Diceros bicornis minor: one gene and its partners. The protein of the gene in region 2 purifies or fractionates together with the protein of the main gene of each other region. This does not show direct contact. Links are inferred from orthologs where the notes say so. Each region holds a gene or a part of one and is shown on either strand. Other genes may lie near its edges.

Region 1 (9,842 bases), on a different chromosome or scaffold from region 2:
GGCTTGCTCTGACATCCCCTCCCTCAGGGCCAGCCTGGCTCCAGCTTGGTTCCAGTTTAGAGGGAAAGATGGTCATTCCCATCTCTAGTCCCCTCCCTTCCTCAAGTCACCACCCTAAACATTTGGAGACAGAGTCTGAGAGTGGGGTGAGCTGCTCTCACCTCTAGCAACATGTGGATATGGGCCTTGATATTCATGGAGTCCTTGGTGAGGCTGTCGCTGAGCCTGGAGAAAAGAAACAAGGGGCGAAGTGGACCCCACTTATGATCATGAGGATGATGATTCCTCATCACTTCAAGAACTACCTCCATCTTGGATCACTTCCCCAGAGCAGGTGGTAGGACATCCTACTAGCTGACCTGCTTCTGTGCAGAGATGCCTGGCCATCATCTGGACTGCACTGATTCAAAGACATTTCTTGAATCTCTACTCTATGCCAGGTAGTTTTAGGTACTGAGGAGAGAGCAGCAAACACAGCAAACAAAAATCGTGGCCTCATGGAGCTCAAATTCTCGTTAAGAGGGACAAATGATGGAACAAAATATAGAGTATGTCAGATGGTTCTAAGTACAATGAAAAAATTAAATGCTAAGAGAGGATAAGGAGTGCAGGAGTGGGGGCTGCAACTCTAATTAGAGTGATTAGGGATGGCTTCACTGAGAAGCATTTGAGTAAAGACTTAAGATGAAGAAGCAAATCATGTGGCTATATGGAGGATGAGTGTGCCAGACACAGGGCAGCAGCAATGGCGCTGAGGTGGGAGTGTACCTGGCATATCTGAGGCACAGCAAAGAGACCAGTGTGGCTGGAGAATCAAAATAGTGTGTGGCACATAGTAGGCACCCAATGTATGCTGAATGAATAAGTGAATGACTACTCCACTCAAAGGAACCTGAAGTCCTCAAAAGGTGGTTGAGTCTACGTTTAAGGACAGGAAACAAATGGAGCATGGTGTTGTTGCTAGAGAGCAAGAATGCTTGCAAGAATATCAGGGGTACCCCTCAGAGAACAGATGAATGATCTTGATCAGCTTCTAAGGGACAATTTGAAATCAAAGAAGAGAACAAAATTAGTTAATGGTACAAGCTTAGTCTATGAAAGGCTATGAGTTCAACACTTAAAAAAAAGGAGAAAAATAGAAAGTTCACCAAATGCTAGTTGTAACACAAAAGGGATACGTTTAATTTATTGCTACTGATTTAATACGTAAGGCAGTGTGGATATGTACTCCTTTCTGTGTAATCAGGAAAGAATATACACAGAGACCTGATCCTCCCATTCCCCAAACAAAGAAATATACTAAGAACAGGAAGGACTGACAGATTGTTTGGTTACATAAAATAATCTGAAAGAAAGTTAGTTCAAAGTGTATCCCAAGTCACCAAGTATTTTAAAGAGGAGAGTGAGCTACACAGACTCGAATCCTCATTTCCTAGAAAGATTAAACTTCTAGGGAGTCCTATTAATTATAATAAAGTAATAAGAGATTCAATCACATTTCTCATCACACTAATAGACCAGGTCAATATATTAAAAAGACCAGACAAGGAGACAGGCACTGACAACTTAAGAATTGAGAAATCTAAGATTTAGAAATCTCAGCAGGTCTGAGGCTCTTTTGGGTCTACTAACACTGAAACTCTGGAAAGGTTAGAAAAGAAAAGAATTACTGAAACCCTAAGGGAGGCAACTCTGGAAGAAACAACTCTGAAATCTTTATTCGTAGGGATAAAGATAAATATAACCCAGAAGGAATTTTCTATCTGTGGTATTCACTTGTGAGATGTTAATTGAAGTGTAATGCTCAGCGTTCCCTCCCGCACTCCAGCCGAGCCACGCTCGCCTCTCCTGCCAGTTCCTCTAACACAACAGGCACACTGGTCCTCTTGCCAGGAATCCTCTTCCCCAGATAGCCCCATGGCTTGTTCACTCAACCAAGTGACTCAAATGTCACTTCCTCTAGGAGGCCTTCCTGAGCTACATTTCAAACCTTGCATCTACACTCCCAATTCCCCTTCCCTTAACAAAACCTTAAACTCAACCAGAGCCCACATTTTCCCTCCACATTACCTCCCCATCACCACCAACAGAGATCTGCTTCAATCTGTTTCCAGCATACCTTTTTAAATTCATTCAACAAACACGGAGTGCCTACTATATGCTCTGCACTATTCTAGTCACTTGGGGTATAGACAACATATCTCCCTCTATAAAGCTTATAGCCTAATGGAAGAAAGCAATGCACATTAGAAAGAAGTAAATTACACAGTAAACATGAGGAGGACACAAGTGCTATGGAAAAAAGAAAAAGTAGAACAAGGAAGGGGAATCAGGAGTACCGGGGGTTGCAATTTTAAAGTTAGGTTACAGAAGGCCTCGCTGAGGAAGTGACATTTAAGCAAGACTTCAATTGAGTGAGGAGAAAGGAAGCCATGCAGGCATCTGGGGAGAGTGCTGCAGGCAGAACAGCCAGTGGGGTGGCCCTGAGGTGGGATCATCCTGGGAGTGTTTAAAGATGCCCATGAAGGTCAATGTAGTGAGAGCAGAGCGAACGAGTGGGAGAATTAGCAGGAGGCGAAGTCAGAGGTAACTCGTTTTATCGTTACTGATTTAAAGGGTGAGACCTCCCGGATCTGGTCAAAACTGTGCTTGTGTATAACAGTACAGTCCTTCTATAACTTAAGCCTTCAAGGAACCTTCTGTCTTGTTCACTGCTGCCTCCCCACTGCCAAGCACAGAGCCTGGCATACAGCAGATGCCCAATAAATGTTTGTGTGAATGAACATTTACTGAGTGCTTATTATGTGCTATACCTGGGGCTGAGCCTTGCATCCCCACTTTCCTCAGCCCTAGGCCTGAGGAGGAGGGGAGATGGATCCCTAAGTATCATCCCAGGCAGCCATGGAGCAGGGGGGAAGGGTGTTGCGAATGGTGGTGTTTGTAGACACTATCCTCATGGAATGGACTTACTCTGTGAGAAGATTGCTCTTACGATCAATGAACTTGAGAGCTTCTGCCAGTGTCAACTCCAGGAAAAAACCATAGCCAAGGGCCACATAGATCCGGGAAGTGTCTGGGCTGAGGAAACAGTGGTTAGAGGAAGTGGGGGAAGTCCTTACCACTGTTTAGCAAACCATACAGTTTATTTAAGATTTTTTTTTTACTCCCCTCCCCCCACCTTCCCCAAATTGCAGCTCAAGGAGGGAGGGATTTTGTCCTATTTTATTCACTGTCACTTCTCCAGCACCTAGCACGGTGTCTGGTACAGGGCAAATACTCAGAAAAACATTTGTTGACTGAAGGAAGGGGGGGGAGCTGAACTCTGTGGGCTCAGAGGGACGGGTAGACACTCACACCACTGTGTCAACAAAGAAGTTACAGCCCAAATCCACCTGCATATATAACTCCGAGTGCTTCGCTTCCTGTAGCGCCAGGGAAAAAGAGGTAGGGGTCAATGGTCAATTTGTAGGTCAGGTGCAGGTTTTGGTCTGGGGTATCTCCTCCTGCCTGTCTCCCTCCCCTGCCCTCCCACCTCCCACACAATGGTATCTAACCCTGGTGTCTTCACCTGGAGTCGCTCAATGACATTTCTCAGTTGAAGGTATTTGGCCAGCTGCTCATATACCTTGTCACGATGGTCCAGCACTTTTCTGTTGGGACATGATGGGACAAGAGTAAATGGTGACCAACAGGAAGCCCTGTCCCTCTTGGAATACCTCATATCATGACCCTCTGAGACCCTCATGTCACCATGCCCTAAAAGAGGCATTTTAGTGCAGAAGTTAAGATTCGGACTCTGGGTCAGCCTGCTGGGGTTTGAATCCAGGCTCTCCTTTTTACTAGCTGTGTGACTTTGGCAAGTAAGTAACCTCTTCGGGACTCAATTTCCCCATCTGTAAAATGGGGATGACAAGTATTACCTCATACAGTCATTAGGAGGATTAAATGAGTATTTACTATAAAGCACTTAGAATAGTGCCTGCCAAATAGTAAGCTCTATATATGTAACTATTATTTATTTGTATTATTATTATACTCTACTCCCAATGCCTCTCTCCAATTAGAAAGTCTCATTCTCACCCTAGAAAAACCCTCCATCTCTTTTAGGATGCTCATAATCCTAGTTCTGAATACTCTACTTCCCGCTCAGATTAATAATGATCGTAATAACAATTTTTCATACTCATTGAGCCTCTAGTATCTACATTAAACTCTTTACAAGGACTCAACACATTGAAAACTCAAAACTACCACATGAGGAAGGTTCCATCAACTGCCCCACTTCACAGATGAGGAAAATTGAGGCTCAGAAAGGTGAGGCGAGGTACAACGTGTTCACACGGATGGCGAAGTGGCCAAACCAGGATTCAAACCTGAGAACTCTGGCTTCGGAAAACTAGCTCTCAACCATTTAGTGCCATCAGAGGCCGCGCCTGCGCAGAAATACCTTCCACTAAGCCCGCCACGTCCCAGCCTGGATGTCGCCCCTCCTTCCCGCTCGGAAGGCGCGCGGGGCCGGGCTCCGAACGCCTCGCCCACCAATCAGAAGGCTACGCCCTGAGTCCAAACGCCCCGCCCACCACGTGCAACGTTCCAAACGCCCCGCCCCCCACGCTGTCACTCACCGGAGGTCCCGCTGCAGCACGTCAGAGATAAAGGCCTCATAGCGGAGCACTTTCTCCCCCGTGGCCTCCACAGCCCGCCGTTTAGGGGGCGTCGCCATGATGGGCTCCTGAGGAATAAGGAGAGGGAAGACCACGTTGACCACTCAGTTTGGCCTCAAGTGCATTACATCTGCACCCTCTCAGTGTTGGGAGTGGGCTCGTCCGGCTCATGCCGGGGGTTCCGCCTTCTGCCCCTCCCAACTCTGGGCTCCCGCCACCCAGGGCCACCCAAACACAGCCGTTACCTTAGAGCCGCCGGCAATAAGAACGATTGGTATGAACCGCGGCTTCCGGGTGGCGCGGATGAATGACGTACGACGAGGGCGCTGGCCAACCAAATAGCCAGGTGTGGAGGGGCGGTCCTGAACGGAAGCGACCAGCAGGGCCGGCGGAGAAGAGAAGGGCGGGGCTCTACGGAATCCCATGAGGTTACGGAAGGCTGCCGAGCGTGGGAACAGGGACTGCGCGCCGAGCCTATGGGGATCGTGCGTGGCTGGTGGGGCTGGGGTTTAATGGGATTTGGCGGATCTGCGGGAGGCGGGACGCACAGGTGGAGGTGGAGAGAGAGAGTAAAGCGTTTAGTAGTATTTAAAAGTCAGAGTTTCGGAAGCAGGGGGGCAAGAATTGATTATGGCTCTGCTCTGTCAAAAGGGGAGTACATTCCTAGGATCTGTCGTCCTGGATTTTGGTTTTTCACACGGGAGGTTTGAGTTTGACTCCTGGTAATGGGAATGAATGTGAGCATTAAAAAAATTTTAAACGGAGACAGAATTTCTAAAATTCATCTTTGATGACTCCAGCACTGTGGCCCACAATCCATAACTGGGGTTCAAGCAGAGATTGATAACACACTGTGTCTAATCACCTCATTTAAAAGGGGCGTCAAATGGAGGGTCGCTGAAGTCCATCGCCCCAGGTTGGCTATGTTGTAGTTAGAAATAGTTCCTATGTTTTTATTTAAATGTGTGAGCTTTTCATTAATTTACTTTTATGATCTCAAGTTATTGAATGAATTTATTTCCCATGTTAGATTTTAAAATAATAGCATCTAACCCAGCAAGTCCAAGTCTGAGCCTGAAGGAGAACCCAGATGCTGGATCCCCCAAAATGTGTGTAAAAGCAAGTTTTTGTTTTTCAAGTGCTGAAAACCTAAGCAAGTCAAGCTTTTCTTTGCCTTTAGAGCAAGATGATTGTAAAGGAAACGTGACTTAAAAACAAATTTTTTTTTTGTAAATCTTCTCATGTTTCATGTAGTTAAAATTACGTTTAGTGTGATTGAAACAGACAATAAGTAGGTAGACAGATATTACCGAGTTAATCTATACCATTTTCCTGTGAAAAGCGGGTGTTACATTTATTATCTTTAACACGGAGAACACAGTTTCTGAGGAGCTGGAGATGGGTCTGTGAAAGCCTATTAAGTTTCACAAAAAACATTTTTTACTTTTTAAAAGCATTTCCAACTTTATTTTTACATTTCAAACCTACAGAAAAGCTGGCAGTGAACACCCATATAGCCTTCACTTAGATTCACCAAATATTAGTATTTGACTGCATTTGCTTTCTCTCTTTCCGGACCATACAATAACTGTTGACGTGGCTGCATAGCATTCCGTCTTTTAGATGGCCTCAAATTTTTGAGCCACTCCTCTGTTATTGGATGTTTGGTTTGGATGTTTGGTTGTGTCCAGTTATTTTCATCATTATAATCCAGGATGGGATAGCAGTCTTTGCTTTCAAATTTTTGAGTGCAACCATGATTATTTCCTTGTGATAAATTTTTAGAAGTAGAATTTATTGATCTAAGGGAGGTCACTGCGTTGTAAATCAAGTAGTAAGTGACAATTGTACACATACTCCCAATGACAAACTTCCTCATCGAAGCTCTACATCGGGGGTCAGCAATCTATGGCCCCAGTTTGCTGGCCCTTGATGTTTTTCTACGCCAGCAATCTAAGAATACTAATTACATTTTTTTTTATTTTTTATTTTTTAATTTTTTTCCCCCAAAGCCCCAGTAGATAGTTGTGTGTCATAGCTGCACATCCTTCTAGTTGCTGTATGTGGGACACGGCCTCGGCATGGCCGGAGAAGCGGTGCGTCGGTGCACGCCCGGGATCCGAACCCGGGCCTCCAGTAGCAGAGCGCACGCACTTAACCACTAAGCCACGGGGCCGGCCCTATTTACATTTTTTTAAATGCTTGAAAAAAGTAAAAAGAAGAATATTTTGTGACGTGAAAATTATATGAAATTCAAATTTCAGTGTCCAATAGTAAGGGTTTTATTGGAACGCTTATTTGTTTGCTTATTGTCTGTGGCTGCTTTCATGCTATAATGCAGAGTTGAGTAGTTGCCAAAGAGACCATATGGCCTGAAAATCCTAAAGTATTTACCATCTGGCCCTTTACAGAAAAAGTTTGGCAACCCCAATCATGTCAACTCTACACAACCATGTCAGTCGCCAATACATAGGTTGGGGCTATGAGTACATAGGCCTCCCTGGCTTCCATTGGTGACCTCTTACCTGGCTTATGGGTGGGCATTTTCAGACTGATGCTTCTGGGAGATATGAGGCAAACTGTGTCTTTCATATCTCCATTTGTATTTTCTCTCTCTGCCATCCAACCTCCTCCACACAGGTCTCCCCCAGCTCTGGCTTAGAGATCTCTGTCGATCTCTGTCTTGCCTTTACCCAAGAGGAGCAAGACATGACTGAGGCCCAGATGAGTTATAGCTAATTTGTTCATTCACTGCCTACTTTATTTTCCCCTGGATATTTGGAACCTGATAAGAATATACCCCATAAAATTGAAAAATAAATGTAGGATCACAGAAAATATAAAGCAACTAGAAGATTAACATCAGGGAAAATTGGGATGTAGGTATGAAATTCACTTTTGTGCTTAGCTGTGAATTTGTCTCTGATCTTCCTACAGCCATACCAAAGAGGAAAATTAGGTCAATTATGTGATTTGATTGTCCATGAGGAAAAAGCACGCCAGTTTATCAGCAGAAGGAAATATTTTATGGCATTCACTAGAAAACAATAAAATTAGAACTCTCCCTCACTTCCTACACTAAAATAAATTCCAGGTGGATTAAAGATTTAAATGTAAAAATGAAACCATCAGTGTGCTAGAAGAAAAAAATGGGAGAATATTTTTTTTTATTATTCTCTTAGAGTGAAGTCCTTTCTAATCATGACATAAAATTCTGAAGTCATGAGAGAATATATCGATACATTTGTGTACATAAAATTAATGCATACATAATTAACTTAAAAAACGTTAAAGCCAAATTGCAAAGAAAAATTTGCAGGATACAATCAATAGTTTACTTAATATATAAAGAGCTCCTACAAATCAATATAAAAGTGAAAGGGATGATTAGGCATATGTGTGTGGTGATGGATTGTAATTAGTATGGCTGGTGAACATGATGTAATCTATGCAGAAATAGAAGTATAATGAGGTACACCTGAAGTTTATACAATGTTATAAACCAATGTTACCGCAATAAAAGAAAGAAATAAATTTAAAAAAAAGAAAGAAAATACTATGAAATGGAAACAAAGACCAACAATTTAAAAGAAACTACACAGACAATTCATAGATATACAAATCGTTTTTAAATATATGAAAATGTGTTAATCCTCAATCATAATAGAGAAATGCAAAATAAAGATATGAAATGCTGTTTTCATCTATCAGGTTGGAAAAGACTGGGAAGGTTTGTAATATACTGTTGGTTTTGCAGTTTAAGTTCTTCAGGAAGCAGATACTCGGAGTTAGAAGTGCAGAAGGTTTATTGGGCAGTGACATCTGTGAGAGGAAAAAGGGGAGAAGGGGAGAAGCTCTGAGCAGAGAGAGCACTCACACCATAATGCCAGCCTGACAAAGTCGCAGCTCTAGCCCAGTGGGGAGCTCCAGAGCAGATTGCCTGTTAGGGGAGTCCCACCTGGCACTTTGAACCACTGCATTGCTCATTTGTTGGCTGGGGACAACACAGAGAATAGTGGGACCTGGGTGCTAGAGCTGAGGTGAACCCCTGCAGAGCCAACAACTTGAGACTCTCAAGTAACCACACTTCTCGCAGTTGGGCCATGAATCCTATCCTGAAGAGGAGTCCGAGAGGCTCATCTCCACATTGGCCACAGTTGACAGGTATACAGGGAAGCCAATATTGTTACATGTTTTGGGAGTACACATAGGAATATCTTATTTTATTTTAATTTTTTATTTTATTTATCGTGGTACAATATACATAAAGTTTATCATTTTAACCATCTTTAAGTGTACTTCAGTGGTGTTAAGTACATTCACATTGTTGTGCAACCATCACCACCATCCGTCTCCAGAACTTTTTCATCTGGAATATCTTCTACAAGTTTAAAGTACACCTACTGTTTGACCCAGGAATTCCACTTCTAGGAATTTATCCTACAGGTATATTAGCATCATTATGTATCAAAGTATTACCCGAAAATGCATGGCAGCATTGTATGTAATAGCAAAATATTAGAAACAACCTAAATGTCTGTCAATAATGGATGAATCTAATTAATTAAGGTACATCTATACAACAGAACATGAACAATTCACCAGAAAGTTATAATCCAGGACCTGTATGGACCCAACAACATGGCCTCAAAATAATAAAGTTGCAAAAATAAAATTCTAAAACTTCTTTTACTATTTCTTGTAAGCCAGGTCACCCAGCAAAGAATTTCCTCAGTCTTTGTTTCTGTAGGAATGTATTTTGTCTTCATTAAAAAAAAATTTTTTAGGGGCCGGCCCTGTGGTGTAGCAGTTAAGTGCATGTGCTCCGCTGCTGGCGGCCCAGGTTCAGACCCCGCTTGTCAGGCCATGCTGTGGTGGCGTCCCATATAAAGTGGAGGAAGATGGGCACAGATGTTAGCCCAGGGCCAGTCTTCCTCAGCAAAAAAAAGAGGATTGGCATGGATGTTAGCTCAGGGCTGATCTTCCTCACACACACAAAAAAATTTAAAGTAATTACAGATTCACTAGAATTTGCAAAAACAGCATAGAGAGGTCCTGTGTACCCTTCACCTTGTTTCCTGCGATGGTTAAATCTTATGTAACTATAGTACTATATCAAACAAAGGAAACTGACATCAGTACAATGTGTGTATATAGTTGACGCTCTTTTATCATGTG
Region 2 (9,792 bases):
ATAGACCAATTCAGCTTGCCATCAGGTTCCCACAGACTTCATGCAAAGATTCTTTCCACATACCCGTGACTCTTAGTTATCCTGCCTGCCTTGCCCTCCATTTTTTCCTTTCACCCATCTGCCTTCTGAAGGTGTTTCGTTTGAACCTGTGAGTTTATGGCTACCCTAAACAGATTCAAGACAGCATGCCACATGATCAGTAGCGATAAATCCTTTTAGGAGCAATGAAGCCATGAGATGCAGTGGGTGGTCACCAGTGCGTGCATTTCCCATATGTACTGTTATTACACATACATAAGCACTAACAACATTAATTACTGCAGTCTACTATCATCATTCTACACCGCTATGTCCACTAACTGAAATTTGCTTTCATCTCCTGACAGGTCTTGGTTCACAGGTATTAAACTCCATTAAATAAGCCTGTTTACTATCCCCATAGGACCACTCATAGGCAAAATTTTAGAAGAGGCAAAGAAGTTTTTGATCCTTTTCTACTTATCCCTTTAGGGCCTCCTTACACCTTCAAGTGCTAATTTCCCTACTTTAACATTGGTTTTCCAGACTCTCTATCACCCTAGGAGAACAGTCCCTATCCTTGCTTCATGACTTTGATCTTTCCTCATACCTGCTCCCACTTCAATTTAGCTCTCCAATGTCCTACAATGTATTTTCTTTACTGGAAAACTCAAACTAAGGCATTCTTCTGTGCAATGAGTGTTAATGTTCAGTCTTCTTAGACACTAAACTAACTCTGCACACTGCCCCATGACCTCCCTGTTTAACTCCAAGTGACATTTTTCCATTCTCATGTGACTCATTCAACATCATTCTCCCCTCTTTGAAAGCCTTGGCTTCCACAACTTGACTTCTACAGACTTTCTTCCCACCTCACTGGTTGCTCCTTTTTAACCCAACCTTTAAATACTGAGCTTGCCTAGGGCTTGGTCTTGGGCCTACTTGTTTGTCACAGTTTTTATGGATTTACATCATCTGTATGGCAAGAGCTCACAAAGTTTATCTCTAGCTTAAATCTCTTTCATGGCCTACAACTCATATTATCTACTGTCTACCACGTTCAAAATGGAACTTTTGATTCCAGTCACCTTCTCCACCTCCCAACCTATTTTCCCATTTAAGGTTCCCATTTCAGTAATTTGGCCCCAAACCTAGGTACAAGTCATTTTTCTGTTTCTTCACCTTCCACATCCAATTCCTGAGATCTATCAATTCTGTACCAATTTGGTTCTAAAACACATCTCAAATCCACCTTCTTTTCTCTATCACTAGCTTACTGCCCTTCCAGGCCACTTCAGCTCTTACAGTTTCTCTGCTTCTACTCTGGCCTCTCTATAACCTATTCCCCCACACGGTAATCAAAGTATTCAGATGTCATTCCCTTTGTACTTAAAATCCAAACTCTAACTTACCACCCCAGCTCTCCTCTCCAACAACTCCAAACGATAGGCCCTTGTCCTCCTTACTTACCACGCTAGACATGCAAATTTTCTTTCAATTCCTTTAATTCCTCAAACCACCAGTTTTCTGCTTCGGGACCTTTGCACATGCTATTCCCTCAGAATCTTTCTCTCTTCTTTTGGCACAGTTAACTCCTTCTCTTCCTGTAATCGCTGGAGGACCTTCCCTAACTTGCGTACCCAAAGCAGATTCCTCTTTCATGTTTTCTATCTTGACCCTGTATTTGTTTTTTCACAGAATTACAACTTTAAAAAAAAATTTCACTCTTATTATAATGTATGCTCCATGTGAACAAGAGCTGTGTCTCATCTACTAACATGTCTATTCCAGGGCCTGGTATACACCAAATGCTCAATAAATACAGAAATACATTTATCTAAAGAGTTGACTGAGTGTAGGAAATGCGGGCTTTATGGTAGGCTAGTAGAAGAGGTCTGATTTGAGTGAATAAAAGGCTATATGCCTTAACTACTGACATGGATTCATCTAATATTTACTAACCATCCACTACCTATCAAGCATTGTGCCTCAAGTTAGTATAGTGGGTACACAACATAAGCACTAACAATAGCATAGTAAATCCAAAACCAAGAAACACAGAGCATAATGAAAGCACATACAAATACCCAAACTAGGGTAGGAAGTCCGACATGTAAGTTCTTACCTAGACCAGAGTATGGCAGAAGGAAGAGTGTTCCAGGAAGAGGGAATAAACAAAGGCTCCAAAGGACAGAGCACTGGGGGGTGGTGTGCTCAGGTTCAAAGGCTGACAGATATTAGGGTGAATTAAGAGTCAAGTTGGGGTAGGACAGGCATGAGAGACAACGCTGAAGAGGTAAATAGGACAGCTCTTAGACGTGATTCACTAATATTTTAAGTTTTCCAAAAAAAAAAATCATTTTCCCCACATGGAATTTTCCTTCTCCCTGTCCTTACTGTTTCTCAAATACTCCTTTTTTAATGTAACCTTGGGCTATACTTAGATACCTAAGGACTGAAAACGTTATCTGGTCTTCCCAGTTTTCTCCTTCTGTAATACAATTAAACTCTCTTGACCTACTTAGGTCATTTCTGATTAAATATTTTATTACTGTCCTGAAATTAAAGCAGTAAACTGGCATCTATCCTGTAAATGCTATCACAAAGATGGAGCCTGATACCACCAAAAACTCTCATGTGAAACTAGAATTCTCACAATTCTTTCAAATTATTCCCCACCCTTGCCCAATCTACCAATCATAGCAAAGGATGCAATTCTCCCATGAATTTACTAAAAACTATCTATCAAGAAGCTAAGTCCTCCCACCTTTCTTTCCTTCCTCCTTTTATTTTTTAAACCAACAAGTCTATGTGGGGTCATGCTCTATTGCATCTCTCCCTCTCCCCCAATCATAGCCATGAATGCATATTCCTTTTAATCCCCTTGATCAAAGTCCTTGCCTGGGCCTCTGATTTTCTCATAGTTTCCTCACTTTCAATGTTGGCTCAATTAAAAAAGAGAAAGTAAGCTAGAAAAAAAACCCTAAAACAGTCAACCTGAGGACTAAGGAACAGAAACCACTCAAATTAGTTTAAATAAAAGAGGGAATTTATTAGAACAATACAAAGGTTCTTGCAGGGATTCCAACAGCGGCAATGGGTCAATACCTAGAAGCACACCTTTCAGAAGGACAGATCATGATGTAACCACAAACTTCTACTTGTGGGTTTTACAAGATCACGAAGAGAATATCCTAGAGGATAGTCTTCCCTGTAGCATGCATAAGTGACTAGAATGTGGATTTATTTCTGCTTGCTTTTTGATCCTTATATTCCTTTATGCTGGCCTCAAACTTGTCAAGCACATGCTGGCAGACATTCATGAGCTCATTCAGGCCTCTCTGAAATGGCTCAACAGCTGGAAGAGTACCTCGAGTCTGAATGCGCAAATTAATTTTGCTCTCTGAAGGATGGGTTGTAGTATAACCACAAAATTCCACTTCCGGGTTCTTCATGATCATGTAACGAAGAGAATTTCCTAGGGTATGGTCCTCCTCGTGCAATACAAATGTCACACAGTGTCTATCTGTTCCAGCTGCCTGGACCATTTCCAGGGCTGTCTTCCTCTCGCCTTCAGCCATTGAGGTCTTCAATCCAGATCTTTTTCTACACACATATTTTTTATAAAAATGAGATCATACTGAATATGGTTTTGTTAACTAGCTTTTTTCATTTACTATTTCACAACTGCAACACATTATTACTCTAATGTACTTCAATTACATAGAACTATTAGCATTAGCCCCTTATTTTGCTGCCTCCACATAGTCTATCAATAATATTTAATTTATTGCCTCCAGTTTCTCCCTACTCCATTTGACCGTCCACATGGCCACAAGGCGAGTCTCCTTAAAACACAAACTTAAATGTTTGCTAAAATATTCTTTTGGTAGAGTCATAAGAAAGGGATAGGATTAGAATAGGGAGGGCCCTGCTAGAGGATGAAAACGGAGTTGAAAGGCGTATAAAAACACAGATTATTATAAAAATAGACTATAGATTATCAACGTGCAGGCCCACTACGGCTTCCATTTGCAGGACGTAAGGAAACTAGAAGGGAAAGTCGGAGAAGAGTCAATCAAGCAGGAGGGAGAAAGATCTCAGCGCACAGTGGCTTCATTAGCAGTCTGCACAGAGGAGGCACTTGGGCCGCAGTTACAGGGAATACGACCCGACTGAGCACACCAATGCTATCACTTGGGGAACAGTGGCCTGGTGCGTAATTTTACACGTTAGCGTTATTTACTCTTACTGTTCTAACGGGGGGTGGGGTGGGCAGAGTGGGGACTTAAACTCTAATCTCACAACTTGTCTTGGTATCTAGTGTACTGAGCGTCTGTATTCAAACACATCCACGTCTTCACCCCTCTCCTCCCAGTCGGGGACCCTCTCCCTGCCCAGGCGCCCGCTTCTCTCTCCCCCACTGCCCTCCCAGCCATGCCCTCGCTGCCAGGCAGCGCCGCGGAGGCTGAGGCCCCGGCCGGCCGCGGGCCCCTCGGCCACCGGCTCCCGGTGCAGGGCGCGGCCCTCTCCTCCCACCCGCTCGCCCGCCCGCCTCCTCCTCGGCCGTTACCTCTCCAGCTCCTGGTCCTCTTCCATGGCGGGGACGGCTTCCGGGACCCTCAGGTGGTGCTGGCGGACCGGAGGCTCAGCCCCATGTCACGAAACGTGCGGGCGAAGCAGGAAGGAAGGAACGACCGACGGAAGCAGCCGCAAACGGAAGGAGCGGGGAGGAGCCGCAGCGGCGCGGCAAGGCCCAGCCACTGGGCGGGGCGTGGAGGCTCCACCGGAGGCCCCGCCCACATGCCCCGCCCCTGGCGCGAGGAGGGCGGGAGCGAGGCAGGAGCCGCTCACCTGGCCCTCCCGGAGCAAGTCCGCCGGCAGAGCTAGCGGGGAGAGAGGAGGGGTCGGGCTCCCGCCCCACTCCGATGCCGAGACCGGCCTGTGGGCGCCTGAACTCAGCCCTCGGCACCTTCCTCTAGGTGATGGCGAAGGGGGCGGGGCCTTACCTGTGGCCCCCAAATCACCTTCCTTTTTAGGGCCGGATTCGGGCCTCTTTCTGACTTGCTGTTAGACCCGTGGGGGATGGTGTTACTCCCAGGCGGGACCCCAACCCTCGGGGAGGCTTTCATGGGACGACAGGCTTAAACTATAGTTGATCAGTACACCTTGATGAATTTCACAACCGAATAGGATGGTTTGAGCCGGTATTTGTCTCATACGGGATCTTGCAGCTAGCTGCACAGCTCAAGTGGGTCAAAAGACAGGCGTTTGTCTTTACCTTTTGGGGGAGGAGTGAGAGTTTGGAAGGAAGCCCCCATCCTTTCTCTCCTGGGATCTTTTCTACTCCTGAAGTACGTCCTCCTTCCCTTTGGACTTCCTTTTCCCTTTACCCTTTCGGCGTCTTAATCCTCCTCACCTGCGGAACCTCTCGCTCACCTTTGTTCACAGGTGCCGCTGACCCCGCCTCGGCAACCTTTCACCACCCAGACTCGCTCTCCGCCCTCCTTCCTTCGTACCGCTCCTCTCTCCGTCCCCTCAGGTGTTCTTTGCTAATAACCCCTCTCCCTTCCTCGCTCACCAGCTCCCCTCGCCTCCCTCACCCAGTCAGCCCCTGTCCCTACCACCCTACCCCGGCTGTCCTCTCGTCAAACACACCTACACTTCTGCTTTCCTCCGCCACTTGTTCTCCTTACCCGCCCCCCCACCCCCATTCCCCTAGATGTTCCCTGCCTCCCCCAGCTGTTCCGCTCTCTTCGCAGCGATCGGCGGGGAGCGCAGAGACTTCTCGAGCGTGTGTTCTGCAAGGGAATCAGGCGAGCGGCGGCAACACCCGAGGCGGGGGGGGAGGCCAGGCGGCGGGAGGCGGAGCAGGCTCACTCTAACCCGGGACTGACGGCCCGTCCTGGCCCGCCCCCTGAACCCTCGGATAGGCGAAGCCGCTCTCTGGCCCGCCCATCTCCCGCCCTGTGCTGCCGCCGATTGGCCTAGGTGCGTGTCGGGTTGGGCGGCTGGGCCCCGGCGCTCGCCCCCGCGAAGGCAGCAGGGGCGGTTGAGAAGCGAAGTCTTGGCCCGAGTTTGCTTCTTGCCAGGAAATCCGCGGCGGTGGCGGCGATTCCCCGCGAAGCAGAGGCCGGCTAGCTCCGCACTCCCTCAGCGGGCCGCGGCGAGCGGAGCTGGGCTGTGCTGCGACGCCGGGAGCCGGCGCGCGCCCCGGGCAGCCGCGCTTTCCCAGTGAGTAACTTTGCCTGGCCGCCTCGCTCCGCGCCCTCCCGCCGGGTCCGGGCAGCCGCCTCAGGTGCGGGCGTCGGTGGGGTGTGGGGCAGCGCCGCGCCCGGGGAGGCGGCCCGAGCGGCGCCACCGCCGCGGTGCGCGGCTCTCCTCCTCGCGCGCCGGGCTGCGGGGAACGCGGACCCGGGTGTGGGGCCGGCTGCGCTTGTCCAGGGAGGGAGGGACGGGCTGCCCTCGCCCGGTGCTCGCCGCCGGGCAGGCGCCGGGGAGAGGTGGGCGGCCCCCGGCTGTTACCATTTGGTGGTTCCGGCCGCTGTGTTGCAGATCTTTGCGTCCTTTGCTTTTTTAAGGGGAGAGGTGGGGAAGAGTTTTTTATTTCCTGTGTGTATGTTGTGGTGAATGAGAGACACTAGCTGCCTTCCGTCAGATCTTGTTCCCCTGGAAAGGAATGGGGAGAGATCGTACCCTCCGTCCCAGCCTGTTGCCTAGGAATTCTCACCTTTCCCTTCAGGCCAAAGAGGGTGGGAGAGCGATTTCACCTCTTCATGGGGGTAATTTCAAAATATGGATCTTGGTTTTGAAGCAGTTGCACACAAAGCACCACTCAGGAAATACATCACTCGCTTTTTAAAGCTTTATGCCATATTTTAAACGAAGGAATTTTAACTTATATGTAGTGTTTCTTCTGATATTTCAGTTTACATTTAAGGTTACAAATCAAGACGTTCGTATCTGCCAGGAGCTACAGTACATTCATGCACGGGCTTAACTGTATAGATGTTTCTTTTTAAATCACAGAAACCAGAAACGAAGTTAAGTGAAAAGCAGTGGCAGTGCAGGAGGAGGAAACAGTTGTGAGCTTCGGTTTATTGGAACTGCCTTCACTTAAAGAATTTCACATTCTTGAAGCAGCAGTAGTTAATTGTAAATTGGCCTTCGTCCCGGGACAGATTTTGAGTTTTTTCTTGTGTGTACTGTGACGCAGCACTGATGAAGTTGGATCTCAGATCAATTTTATTTACTTTGATGGATTTGATTCCGATCTCCACACTCCTTTGGAAAATGGACTTTGATCTAGTATCCTTTTGGGGCCTGTCAAAACTTTGTTAAGCCATGAAGAACAAAGTTTTACCTTTTTAGCTTGTCCAAGTCCCACATGTGATTTTTCCCATAGGGGTAAAATGTATGCCAAATCGGAACCGAAGTAGAATAACACTACTTTTAATTTGGCCCACTTGTGTGTTAACATTCCTAATTCTGTATCTTGTTCCTTTCCTTTTCTCAAGTGAGAAATTTTTCATTATTTCTTCATTCAGCAAATGATAGAGTGCCTACTGCATGCCAGGCCTTGACGGCAGGGCTCGGCTCTTGCCCTGAAGTTGCTCATAGTCTTATTGGGAAGCTGAGCCATACTACTAGCTACCTGAAAGTTATCTGAACAAAGTGCTGTGGGAACTTGGAGCATTTCTGCCTGGAGTTTGTTAGGGAAGGCCCCACATAGGCACTCACTCTTCAAATTGGTGTGGGATTTTCCAGGTACATTCTAGACAAAGAGACTAATATGTAGGGTGTTGCATTACGAGATCTGCATCTAGTTACTCTGGCTGAAGGACACAATGTATGGGGTTGGAGTGGTAGTCAAGGGCTGGGTAGTATTCATTTCAGAGCACTTAGCACTTTGCCTTGCTTACAGTAGGCACTCAAATATTTATTGAACTGACTTAAACAGAAACACAAAGGATTTTGTATGCCAAATTAAGAAAACCGGACTTTAGCCAGTTAGTAATACAGAGCCGCTAGTTTTAAGCAGGAGAATGTTGTGATAACATTTGCATTCCAGAAGGATATTTGCAGCGGTCTGGAGGATGGTGGGGGTGCAGATGGGAGGTAGGGGGACAAAGTAGGAGCTTTTATACTATAGGGGTTAAGTGCTCAGGCTTCTCAATTCACATTTTCAGGGTTTGAATCTGGCTATATCACTTATTATATAACCTCTTTCTTCCTCAGGTTCTTCATTTCATGGGGTTTGGGGGATAAAGCTTGAAAAACATGTATATTATTTGGAATAGTGCTTCACACATAGTAAGGACTTGGTAGATGCTAGTTGTCTGTGAAGGCAGTGGAAGTAGGTGATGATGTGGCATTTAGGAGGTATATTTGGTTGGAATAGGTAAGTGACTAGATATGATTAATGATGATTCCTAGGGATGATTCCTAGGTTTTTTGACTTGAGGCATTGGAGTGTACTGGTTAAGCTGGCTGTGGAGTCAGGGATTGAATTCCATCACTTACTCTTAGAATTACTATCCTGACTGAGCTTTGGTTTTCTCACATTTAGGAAATGATCATAGTACCTGTCTAGTAGGGTTTGAGGATCAAATGAAATTACGCATGTAATGCCCTTGGCAGAGGACCTAGCGCGTTACAACTGCTCAGTAAATATTAGGTGTTCCTTTAGTGATAATGACATTAATGAGCAGTGGAATGTTGGGAGATAAGAGAAGGGCAGTTAAAAACAAGGAGTGGGAAAAGGAAGGTAATTAGATTTGGAGCAGACCAGTGAGGTGCTACTGGATAGTTGAGATGTCCGTGATGAAGTTGTTGGATAGATGTGTCGACAGGAGCGAGGAAGGAATGGAAAAGAAAAAAGAGAGTTCACCTAAAGCCTTTGTGCGTTGTGGTAAACTTTATGAGATTTGGGGATTGCAGTCCTGAGAGTGTTGATGTTGAATATTAGGCATCTCTATTCTTAAAATGCATTTTGGCTACCATTACAGGGGAACTTCAGGCTCATATAATCTGGTTGGCCCTTCTCTCTCTCCTCTTTCTCTCCTTTCTGATTGCCTCCAAAAATTCAAATATTTTTTATTTTATTATGCAGAGTCATTTAACTTTTCCCTGCTTATGGGCTTAAAGTTCACTCCAGGCCCACCTTTTTATGTCAAAATCCAACAAAGTTTCTAGAAGAATCAAAGGTCTCACTTCATGGGTTCCATTCTACTTAGAAAACAGTGTTGGTTGAAAATATATGTGTATGTGTATATATATGTGTAATTCAACATGCAAGATATTTGTGTATATATGTGTGTATATATATATCTTGTGTGTAGAATTATAGTTGTAGAAGACTTGGCCAGGCCTAAAATGACCCTGTTACAGGACCGGGGAGATTTACAAAATAAATCCCCTTTAGCTTTCCTCTCATATGTTTCTTTTCCTCAGAAAGTACAAAAACAGTTGAAAAATCTGTGGTTATGTAAGTTTTTTGGTTGGTTGGAGTTAGAAGAAATGGCTATTTCGTGTATTAGCCTAATGAGAAGTTAATAAGAGGAATTTTTTAAAAAGCAAGTGCTCATGATATACATTATGATAAATTGTCATCTAGTTAGTATGCTTGTAAAGAGGCAGGTATTGTATGTTGTATACTTTATATGCTGCATAAGAGCAGGGATCGTATCTGTTTTGCTCACAGAATCCCCAGGTACTTAAAACCATAAATATTAATGTATGCATGAATGAATGAATTAGATCTGTTGGTTTTGA
Region 3 (10,222 bases), on a different chromosome or scaffold from region 2:
CTTTCAGCACCACTCCCCGCAAGATGGTCTTCATCTCGGGGATGCCGGACCCTGGAGAGGGCACAGTCCCAGGAGAGTCATCCAATGTGCCTGTTTCAGGAGGTCCCACCTTTGCCCTCCCCTGCTCTCCTATTGTACCGACAGCCTGAGGAGCCAGGATCTGTGTGAAGCCGGCTGAGAAAGTGATGAGGACGATGGGGTAAGTGACCCAGGCCAGGTACTGGAGCAAGAGGTTGGTGTTCAAGCCCCGGGACATCCACTGCTGAGCTGTGGGGAGGAGACGTGCTGCTGGCCCCCGATGCGCACACCCAGTCCCCGCCTGGCCACTGGGACATACCAATATAACAAGCTGCCCCAGGGAATATCGCAGAGAGCCCGAGGACAAGGGGTAGGGAGGGGGCCCTGGAGGGCATTCACTGGGACAAAGATCACCATAGGTAACAGAGTCAGATGGAGAGCGGGGGCAAGAAGTTGTAGCCTAGGTGAGTGGCAGTGAGCATGACTGAAGATGGGGCAGTCAGGCCGGGGAAAGTGGTCAGTGGCCAAGTAGCCAAGAAACTTGGACAAGTGTGGCATGGAGGAAGCAGGTTGGCTCTTCCCAGCCCGCCCCCTGCCAGCCCTTGTCCTTACCCTGCAGACAGGCAGCGATGGCATAGTCCATGGCCCAGCTGACCAGCGCCATGAGGAGCCCCAGCAGGACCAGGAAGATCCAGTCTTCACCAACCCTGGACACTAGGAACTTATGGCAGTGTACAGAACAGACTGGAAGCAGGGAATGGAAGAAGGGGGAGGCTGGCACAAAAGTGCTTTTACCCTATCCCCCCTCCACCCCCCAAAGGGCAGCTCTAATGGCCTCTGTCCCCCTCAGCACGGTACAGCCAGGTCCCCCGCCCCAACCCAGATCTCACTGTGGCATCGGGTGCAGCGGCTCTGTCTGTATTCCAGGAGCTCCGGGGGAGTCCGAGGGGAAGGCGGACCCCTCCAGGGCTCCGGCCCTCCCAGGCGGATCCGAGCAGCTTCCTCTTTGGCAAAGGCCCCCAGCTCCTGAGTATAGCGGCCATACATCTGAGCAATAGGGAAGGTGGGGGTTAGCAGATGTGGGCTGAGTGGTAATGCAGGGAGGGCCCCTGGGGCCTCAACTCCCTTTCTCCCAGTCCCCACATTATATACCCCTCCTGAACCCACAGTTCCCACTTTGGCTTGGGGTGTGGGAACAATGCACATTGCAGACTGTGGGGGCTGTCCTGGCTGGAGTGATGGGGACAGCCAAGGTACAGGGACACAGCTCTGGGGGTGGCAGAATAATCAGTCCTCTTCTCATAGGCCTGGGGGGGAGCACTGAGGAGGAGTGGGAGGCAAGGCCCTAGAGGAGGAAAAGATGGAAAAACCTAAGGCAGTCTGAGAGTGGGAGGAGGGAAGGTCAGAGAAGAAGGGATGGTCAAGGGCGTATGGGTAACAATAAGGGCCTCATGGAGCTGGGGGCAGCTGAGTTGGGCCTAGGAGCAGGCGGGGCCCCAATCCTTATCACGTTCCTGCTGGGCCTCTGGCCTGTGACCGACTCAGCTGCACCCATCCCGCCCAACCTAATCCCCTTGTCCCCATTCTCCACCCCCACCCCCCACCAGCCTGCCAGCCCAGCTGGGAGTGGAAAGTCTCTCTGAGTAGGTGGAGAGAGCTCAGTGGCCTTGACCCCACTCTGGAGCTGCCCTGAGTCCAGTGGTGGGTTGGGGGACAGCAGAAGCTGATGGTTGGGCTGTGACTGTGGATGCTGGGGTGATGGGATTAGACCTGCCAAGCTGGGCGTGTGTTGGGGGGTGGGGAGGAGTAGATTCCGGCTGCCACCCGCAGAGCTTCGGGACACAAAGGGCTCCTGTTGGGGCTGGGGTTGTGGGGGGGGAGGGAAAGATAGAGACAGAGAGAGAGTGATAGAGAGCGAGGAAGGGAGGAAAGAGAACATAGGAGAAAGAGGGGGAAAGGAGAGGCCAAGGGAAGGGGCAGAGGAGAGAGAGAAGGAGAGGGGAAGAAGGGAGGAGGAAAAGAGGAGAGAGTAGAGTATAAAGAGGTAGACACACTGTAGGAGGTGGGAGGTGAGTGTGTGAGAGAAAGACAAAGGGATGGGAAGGAGCAGGGGGAGAGGCTGGAGCAGAGAGTGCCTAGGAGAGAGCTTGACCCTGAGAACTCAGTTCAGACATACAGACCAGGCGAAGGAGATGGAGATGTGGCTGCGCAACAGATGGATACCATTTCAGTGGCCAGGTGCCTGGCTTCCTTGACCAATGCCCCATTCTCAGCCTGGGCAGACTGACAGACACCTCCCACCCCTTGCGAACGCTTGCCCCTCTACCCTTGCTCCACCTCCACCTCTGCCACCTCTTCCTGTCATCCTGTTTCATCCAGTCACTCTCTGGTAACTGGGCACCTGCCAGCCTCAGTTAAAGCCCAGGCCCCATCCTCCTGGAGAGGTTTCCTCCCTGCCTTCTTCCTGGGCAAATTCCAACCCAAGCTGGTAAAAAAGAAGCCACAGGGCCCACTCCTTTCCCTAGAGATTGGGTCTCCCACCCCAGCGACATAGGAAGGTGCAAAAGTCTTCTCAAACACTAAGTTACAGCGATGGCCATGAGTCAGCTCAGAGCCCCAGGACCCCTGCTTCTAATAAGGTCAAGGGACACCCCTGGGATAGGTGGGGGCTGGATACCCAGTCAGCATGGACAAAGGTCCCAATTCCCACACCCATTCCTGCTTGACCCATCCTCCCTAAAGCTCTCTTCCTCCACGGGGCAAGCCACCTTTTTTCCAGAGAAAAAAGGGGTTCCTGTCAATGCTGGGTTGCCAGCCCCCAGGGGTAAGGGCTGGGGCCAGGTTAGGGTCTGATGATCTTTCTACACACTCATTTCTGTGTCTAGCACCGTGCCATGCACATAGTGGGGACAGAGGGAATGGAGAAAGGAGTGTAGAGAGAGAATGTTCAAGGGTGTGAGCGGCGCTGGGGAGGGGTACTGGGGTGCTGAGACTTGGGCCCAGGTAGTGAGGGGAAGGAGCAAAGAAAACGTGGGCGGGGGGTAAAGAGAAGGACACCTGGGACAAGCCCCTGATATCCTTGTCCCCTGCAGGCCCCCAGCCTCAGCCAGAAACCTGAATGCAGCTTTCCACTCCTTAGCCCTCCAGCCTCTCTGGCCCTCGAGCTTCAGTTTCTCCAGCTCAGAAGGCTGGGGTGAGGTTAGGGTAGGACCGCAGTCCTCGCGCTTCCAAGGGTAACCAGGAGCAGCGGTTCCGGAGCGCACTCCTCAGGGCTCGGCTCGGCTTCACTTACCAGGGTCTGCTGGTAGTGCAGCGCCCGCGGCTCCATCCCTTCCGCCGCCGCTGCCGCCGCCGGCGCCGCCATCTCCGCGCACAGCCCTCTGGCCTCCCGCGGCGGCTCGGGCTCCGGCCCGGACTCGGCTCCCGGCCCGCAGAGCCCGCGCCGGTACCCGTCCCGTCCCCGCAGCCCGGGAGGCCGAGCGCAGAGCGCCGCGGGCCCCAGGCGGGCGCTGCTGGCGCAGCCACCCGCTCGCGTCCCGTCCCAGGCGGGCGGGCCGAGGGCGGTGCCCTCCGTGCTGCTCCGCCCGCCGGCCCATTCACAGGGGCCGGCCCAGCCGGGCCGGGGTCTGCGATAGGGCCGCCTCCCAGGCACCGGAGAGGCGGCAGGGGGCGCTTGGAACGGGCGAGTCCTGGGGCCCTCTCCGCGGAGGCCGGGGGCTGAGAGGGGCGCCCGGGACCGGAGCGGGGGCGGGCCGGCTGGCACGTGGAGGGGCCGGGCGGGGTCTGCGGCTCCCGGCGCCCGGGCGGGAGGGGCTGGAGACGCCGGGGCTCAGGAGGGTCTGCGGCCAGGGTCTGCAGAGCCGTCTAAATCAGACTCTTCGGGCCCAATCTCTCTCTCAGGAGTGGCGCCCTCTCTAGCTTCTCTGGAGGGGCCAGCGGCTCAGAGGGGCCTGGCAAGACCCCTCTGCTCCCATGGGGGTGAGAAGCAAAGCTGGGGGTACTCGGAGGGGGACGCCAGGCCCAGAAAGGGGGGCGATGCTCAGAACTGAGACCCTCGGTCTCTCTCATCCGCTCCCTTCCTCCTTCCCTTCTTCTCTGTTCTTCCAGGGAGGTGCACCTGGAGCAATCTCGCCTGCCGGCTGTGCGGGGGTGGAGGTGGGGAGGGAACGCGAAGGGGTGAGGCCCGAGGGAAGGGAGGTCTAGGTGCGAGGAGGCCGCTCCTGGGAGGCGGGCGTGGGGGGACAGAGGTCGCTTTTCCCTGGCAGGGACCAAGGAGAAACCCGAGTAGCTGCTGACGTCTCGCCACCATGGGGGAAAGGCCTGCTGGGGCTCTGCGTTCTCTATCAGGGTCCGGAGAAGGACAGAGCAGAGAGCAGAGTGAGCACAGAGTGGGCAGTGCCCAGGAAGGGGGCAGTGTGAGAGGAGCCAGCACCCAAGGGGAAGGGGCAATGTAAGGGAAGAGCTGGTATCCGTGGGAGAGGACAGTGCCAGGATGAAAGGGCACGTAGGAGATCAGTGTCCACAGGGACAGTGCAGTGGTGGCGGAATGGGCAGCACCAAGATGAAGGGGCAGTGCTCAGGAGGAGGGCAGTGTGATGTGGCTAACGCCAGGCTAAAAGGGCGGCGTGGGGGAAGGAAGCAGTGGCGGGGAGTGTGCAGTACCAGGGGAGGGGACAGTGCAGGCTTTTCTCTTCGCCATAGTGACATCATGGCAAATTCCCAAACTGGGTGGACCTGGCTCGGGTGACATCCAGCAGAGCCGAGCTGGGCCGGGCCGGCCTGGCGGGGCCTCGGTGCCAGCTGGAGGAGCTGGGTACAGCCCCCTGCCGGGCCCGCGCTCTGGAGGCGTGGTTCTGCTCCGCCTGCCCTCGGCGCGGACTGTGCCCTCGGCAGGCGGGCGGACCGGCAGGGTAGGGCTAGGGCCAGGCTTCTCTGGGCCAAGGATCAAGGTCCCTGGCTGGGGTAGGCCCGCACGCATTCCAGTCTTCCGGGGCACTCCGAAGAGGGCGCAGTAGAGCCTCAGCAGCCAGCGAGAACCGGCGCCACCTCGGCGGAAGGTGGGACCCGTTGTGTCCCCGCCCTGGGGCGGAGTTATCTGGACCTGGGACCCGACCTCAACGCCGAAGCCTCTCGGAAGCAATCGTTCGGGGAGGACGTTAAGAAGCCCCGAGAGCAAGGCGGCGGAAGTGGCTTCATCCCCGTACGTCCGTGCGCATGCGTTATTCTTTTCCTTTGCCGCCGCTCTGTGGGCGCTACCTTTTCCGTCTCCGCTTGTATTCTCCACGCGAGGGGGTGTGTGTACACCTAGTCGTGGTCGCGCCCTCAGCCTCTCTCCTATTCTTGTGGCTCGCTCACCATGGCGGGCATCCTGTTTGAGGATATTTTTGATGTGAAAGATATTGACCCGGAGGGCAAGAAGTTTGACCGAGGTAAGCAAGGTTTGTAGGGGCAGTTTGGGGTAAGGGGCCAATCTCCTCCTCGGGGACACGCCCCTGGGCCCCTTGTCCACCCAGCTCACGTGGCCTGCTCCTACCGGCAGGTCCTGATGTAGGGACCTCCCTGAGGAAACATTTTATGGACGAGAAAACGGAGACTCCTAGCTCTCCCTGGCTTCACACACGCTGTGCCGGGTGCCTGGGGGGCCCTTTCTCACGGTGCTAGTAAACTCGGGGCATCTTTCTAATCACTCCCCACTCTGTACTAGGCGCTGTACTGTGCACCTTACACACTCTTTTGTCTTACTTATGCCTTTCAAGAGTCTCCATGAGGTAGACGGTGTCTTACCCATTTTGCTCAGAGAGGTTAAGTAACCCACCCAAGGCTGCACAGCGAGTAATGCGACTTCAGAGCCTGTATTCTTGTATTGCCCTTAGAATCTTTAGCTCTTTGTGAACTCCTCTGTGAGTTAGAGTTGACTGCTTGATATGCACCTCTTTATTCTGTCATTGATCAATAATTGTTTCTCCTTGGCGTCTCTTCCTTTGCCTGGAGACTGAGATGTTTTTCAAGAAAAACACTAGTTCTTACATGTGTCGATAATCCCCTCAGCACGGCGCCTGGCACAGAAAGATGAAACCTCTGGATGAATGAATAACTTGCCCTAAGTCAGGTTGTTTCTTAATCACTTAGGTAGGCCTAGAACCTGGATATTACTTGTTGCCAGAGGACCTTTGATTCTTTTCCAAGGATTCTGTCCACCTGCCATGGTTTTTCTCCCCTTTCCTTCTTGCATATCTGGTTCTGATTGAGCCTGCGCTCTTATGAGAGCAGACGAGAGGCCAGTGGATGCAGACTGGGTTCGACTGAGTGTTTTATTGCATACAGTCCCCCAAAGTGGGATCTGCAGGATCTGCCTCGGGCCAGGCAGTTACCTCTGTCACTCTTTCTCTACTTCCCTCCAGTGTCTCGACTGCATTGTGAGAGTGAATCTTTCAAGATGGACCTCATCTTAGATGTGAACATTCAGATTTACCCTGTAGACTTGGGTAAGTGTTGAACACAGACAGTAGCAGGAGGCTTTTTGCCATTTTGGCTGTTCTTCACCCTCAGATATTGCTGTTATTCTCAGGTGACAAGTTCCGGTTGGTCATAGCCAGTACCTTGTATGAAGATGGCACCCTGGATGATGGTGAATACAATCCCACCGATGACAGGCCTTCCAGGTGAGGGAGTGGAGAAAGGAGTACCTGAAATATGCCTGAGGACTGGGGCCGGCCCGGTGGCATAGCAGTTAAGTTCCCGTGCTCCGCTGCGGCGGCCCGGGGTTCGCAGGTTCGGATCCCAGGCGCGGACAGACGTACTGCTGTCAGGCTGTGCTGTGGCGGCGTCCCATATGAAGTAGAGGAAGATGGGCACGGATGTGAGCCCAGGGCCAGTCTTCCTCAGCAAAAAGAGGAGGATTAGCAACAGATGTTAGCTCAGAGTTAAACTTCCTCACAAAAAAAAAAAAGAAATATGCCTGAGAACTAAGTAGATAAGGCCTGTATAGAAAGACCCGTATTTAATTCATGGACTAAATGATTATCAGCAGAATCTGAGTAACCCTAAGGAAATTGGTGCACTGAAGAATTCAGACAACCAGGTGTTTATCCAGAGCAGTGATTACATGCTTGTGAGTTGTAGCTTTTTGGTGGCTGAGGAAATGACCACTGAGTGACCTGGGCTGTGTGGGCCTTGAATCTTGGGAGGGAATTTGGTGTGACGGAAAGGCTTTTGGAGCCCCACTGAGTTCAGATCTCAGCCCTACCACTTATTTACTGAATAACCTCCATGTCTTTCAGCCTCAGTTTCCTCATCAGTAAAATACAGATGGTCATACCTAGCTCACGGGGTTGCTGTGAGGACTAAATGAGCTCGTGTTTGGAAGGTGCCTGCTGTTACAATGCTGGCACTTAGTTCAGTTACCATTTTTAAAGGGCCTTTTATTATTAACTACTTTTTTTTTAGGTGAGGAAGATTGGCCCTTAGCTAACACCTGTGCCCATCCTCTATTTTGTGTGTGGGACACCGCCACAGCAGGGCTTGATGAGTGGTGTTGGTTTGAGCCAGGGATCTGAACCTGTGATCCCCTGGCCGCCAAAGCGGAGCGCGCCGAACTTAACCACTGCACCACTGGGCTGGCCCCCGTTGTTAACTACTTTTAAGAATAACTTTGCCACTGTTGTTCCGCAGGGCTGACCAATTTGAGTATGTAATGTATGGGAAAGTGTACAGAATTGAGGGAGATGAAACTTCTACTGAAGCGGCAACACGTCTGTAAGTTCCGTGGTCTCGTGAAAACCCTTCCCTCCGCCCTGTTCTGAGAATTTGGGCTATGCTCTGAAAATTCAGGCCATGCTCATGCTTCCTGTGTTGGGTCCCTCTCCCCAAGCACCTCAGACCTAGGCGAGACCCAGAAAGAAACTGTTCTGGGAGCAGTTTCCAGTCTGAAATGTAGGCTGCTCACTTAGCCCTTTGTTAGGACCCCAGGGCCCGGTGGTCCATATGGAAACTGGTCATCTGGCTGTGTGAAGTGCAAGGGAAGATTGCTTCCCCAGGAACAAAATGCAGCATTAAGTGATTAAACTGCCAGTCTTTTTTGTTTTTGTTTATTTGTGTGTGTTTTGCTACTCTGCAACCCGATCCCTCTTTCTTTGCTTTCCCTTCCCAGCTATTTTTTCTTTTCTTTAAAATCTTATTAAAACAATATGTGTACTTTGTAAGAAATCTGAAAAGCGGAGAAGTACTGTGAAGAAGGAAAAAAGGTCACCTATAATTCCATACCCAGAGGGAACCTTTTACGTAAACATTTTTGAATATTCTAGGTTTTTTTCCCTGTGTACTTTTTTCTTTGAGATCATATTGTTTATTACAGTGTTTTCTTCTGCTCTTTTTGCTTAAAGTTATGTAAAAATGTTTCCCCATGTCAGTTTAAGGCTTTCTCTAAACATTTTAATAGCTGCATAACATTCTAGTAAATGGATGTATCTTAATGGATTTGACCATTTCCCATATTCTGGGCATGTAGTATTTTCCACCTTTGCTAGTGTAGAGAACACTGCCTTGCACATACCTGTGCATTTATCTTTGTCTGAATTTTGGTTCCTAATGACAAAGGACTAGAAGGTGCCTCTTTTTCTTAGGCTGGGGTGGAGAGCTGCTGAGTAGCAGCTGCTCCAGAGCTCAGATTCATGGGATGGGTCTTCTGTTTCAGCTCTGCCTATGTGTCCTATGGGGGCCTGCTCATGAGGCTGCAGGGTGATGCCAACAACCTGCATGGATTTGAAGTGGATTCCAGAGTGTATCTGCTGATGAAAAAACTGGCCTTCTGAACCATCCCGGAAGCCAACCTTGCTGCTTAGTCTCTCAGGCCACAGACAGTCGTTCAAGCCTGAGTGGAGTTGCTGTTGTTCACCTGTTCGGGAGGTGCTGGCTTTCTGTCCACTGTGGCTGCATCTTTAGGTGGTCTGGACTCAATGGGAAACTGACTAACCTGTAAAAGACCCAGTGGGAGAGCTTAAAATGAATCAGAAGTTGTTTTGTGTATGTGATTTTTTTAAATTAAACTTTACTTTTTCAGACACCCTTGCCCTTTTTAAAAAAAATTTTTCCATTTACTTTAAAACCATTTTTCCTGTTCTCCTATGGTATATTATGTTTCTGGTCCACAGCCAGATGATGACATGTCAGTGTAGGATCTAGCCCAGCCTTTTGGTATTTGGGTTCAGGGTTATCTTAGTCTCCTGGCTGACTCTCCCCTACATTTACCTTCCAATGGGATTTTTCTGTCTGGGAGAGAGAGTGTTGTGTTTTTGGCTCCTGAGGGCACCCCAGGCCCGGAAGATACCACCCATTTGGCATAGAATTTTGAATTGGCAAGGAGCCCTGCTCGTGTCCTTCCAACACTTTCAGTCTCTTAGGAAGTCAGATCACATTGACTTGAATGAGTCACTTGCATAGCCTGGAAATGTTCATTTTTATGGAGGCATTGGGTGGAGGCTTTTAGACACAGGCATGGGACACAACTATGAAGAGAACAGGAAGAGTGGATTTGGTGTTTATGGAAGTAGGCAGAGGAGCTAGCTCTCTGCTCTACATTCTAATGGTGACCTGGAGAGGGGGTAAGCGGTGGTGGTTCTTACCAGTGACACTGAACAGGGAGCTGCTGTACAGACCAGTGAAGTGGACAGGGCAGCAATACCAATGAGGTTGGCAGTCCAGTGCCAGTGCCCAGGACAATACAGCAGCCTGACTGTGGTCACTAACTTAAAAATGAGGGAAGAACAAAGTTGAAATAGTAATGCTTACAAGGACTCCAGTATAGGAGCTGTGTCTTCAGCCTGGCATTTGAGGTTCCTGAGAAAGTATACAGGACTCTGATTTCCCCTAGGAAATTTGGAGTAACAATCCAAAAAGATTGTGTGTATTAAGCAGTTGTCTTTTTTGATCTCCCGGTTTTGCCATGGGAGCTCGTCCGCCTGCTGGGATGCCTGGGATATTTCCTTCCCCATCATTTTCAGGTCTTTACATGAGGTGTTAGAAATAGTGTTTAGGGAAATGGGTTGAAAATGAATGGCCTCTGCAGGGGGGAGGAAAAGGTGTTTCTTTTGCTTTACTGTGGGTGGATTGGGGGGAATAAGAGATGCAGTGGGGGTTGGGATGAAATTCTAACCTTTGGATGGATTAGGAAATCCTAACCTATGGAATCCTAAAACCTTTCTGTGGA

What was found. Proteins that work in one complex are often made in the same cells at the same time.
Region 1: the proteins of protein POLR1D (region 2) and UXT purify together in Homo sapiens (affinity purification with mass spectrometry; 3 studies listed by BioGRID and IntAct, with this or other methods). This does not show direct contact. The link is inferred for Diceros bicornis minor from reciprocal best matches to the Homo sapiens genes POLR1D and UXT.
Region 3: the proteins of protein POLR1D (region 2) and POLR2H purify together in Homo sapiens (affinity purification with mass spectrometry; 4 studies listed by BioGRID and IntAct, with this or other methods). This does not show direct contact. The link is inferred for Diceros bicornis minor from reciprocal best matches to the Homo sapiens genes POLR1D and POLR2H.

The regions. Positions count from the first base shown.
Region 1 is NC_080781.1:41,408,779-41,418,620, forward strand, and holds the start of UXT (protein UXT), read right to left. Parts: upstream 4,971-9,842; 5' UTR 4,910-4,970; intron 4,828-4,909; exon of another isoform or gene 4,733-4,827; 5' UTR 4,724-4,732; coding exon 4,626-4,723; intron 3,651-4,625; coding exon 3,569-3,650; intron 3,423-3,568; coding exon 3,355-3,422; intron 3,079-3,354; coding exon 2,971-3,078; intron 226-2,970; coding exon of another isoform or gene 162-225; intron 1-161. UniProt on the Homo sapiens protein: Involved in gene transcription regulation. Acts in concert with the corepressor URI1 to regulate androgen receptor AR-mediated transcription. Together with URI1, associates with chromatin to the NKX3-1 promoter region.
Region 2 is NC_080748.1:10,914,393-10,924,184, reverse strand, and holds the start of protein POLR1D, read right to left. Parts: upstream 4,676-9,792; 5' UTR 4,618-4,675; coding exon 4,592-4,617; intron 3,625-4,591; coding exon of another isoform or gene 3,249-3,624; exon of another isoform or gene 1-3,248. Other genes in the region: DNA-directed RNA polymerases I and III subunit RPAC2, read right to left, coding at 3,249-3,624, 4,592-4,617.
Region 3 is NC_080754.1:39,333,336-39,343,557, reverse strand, and holds POLR2H (DNA-directed RNA polymerases I, II, and III subunit RPABC3), read left to right. Parts: upstream 1-5,252; 5' UTR 5,253-5,374; coding exon 5,375-5,447; intron 5,448-6,419; coding exon 6,420-6,503; intron 6,504-6,586; coding exon 6,587-6,680; intron 6,681-7,689; coding exon 7,690-7,773; intron 7,774-8,710; coding exon 8,711-8,828; 3' UTR 8,829-9,079; downstream 9,080-10,222. UniProt on the Homo sapiens protein: DNA-dependent RNA polymerase catalyzes the transcription of DNA into RNA using the four ribonucleoside triphosphates as substrates.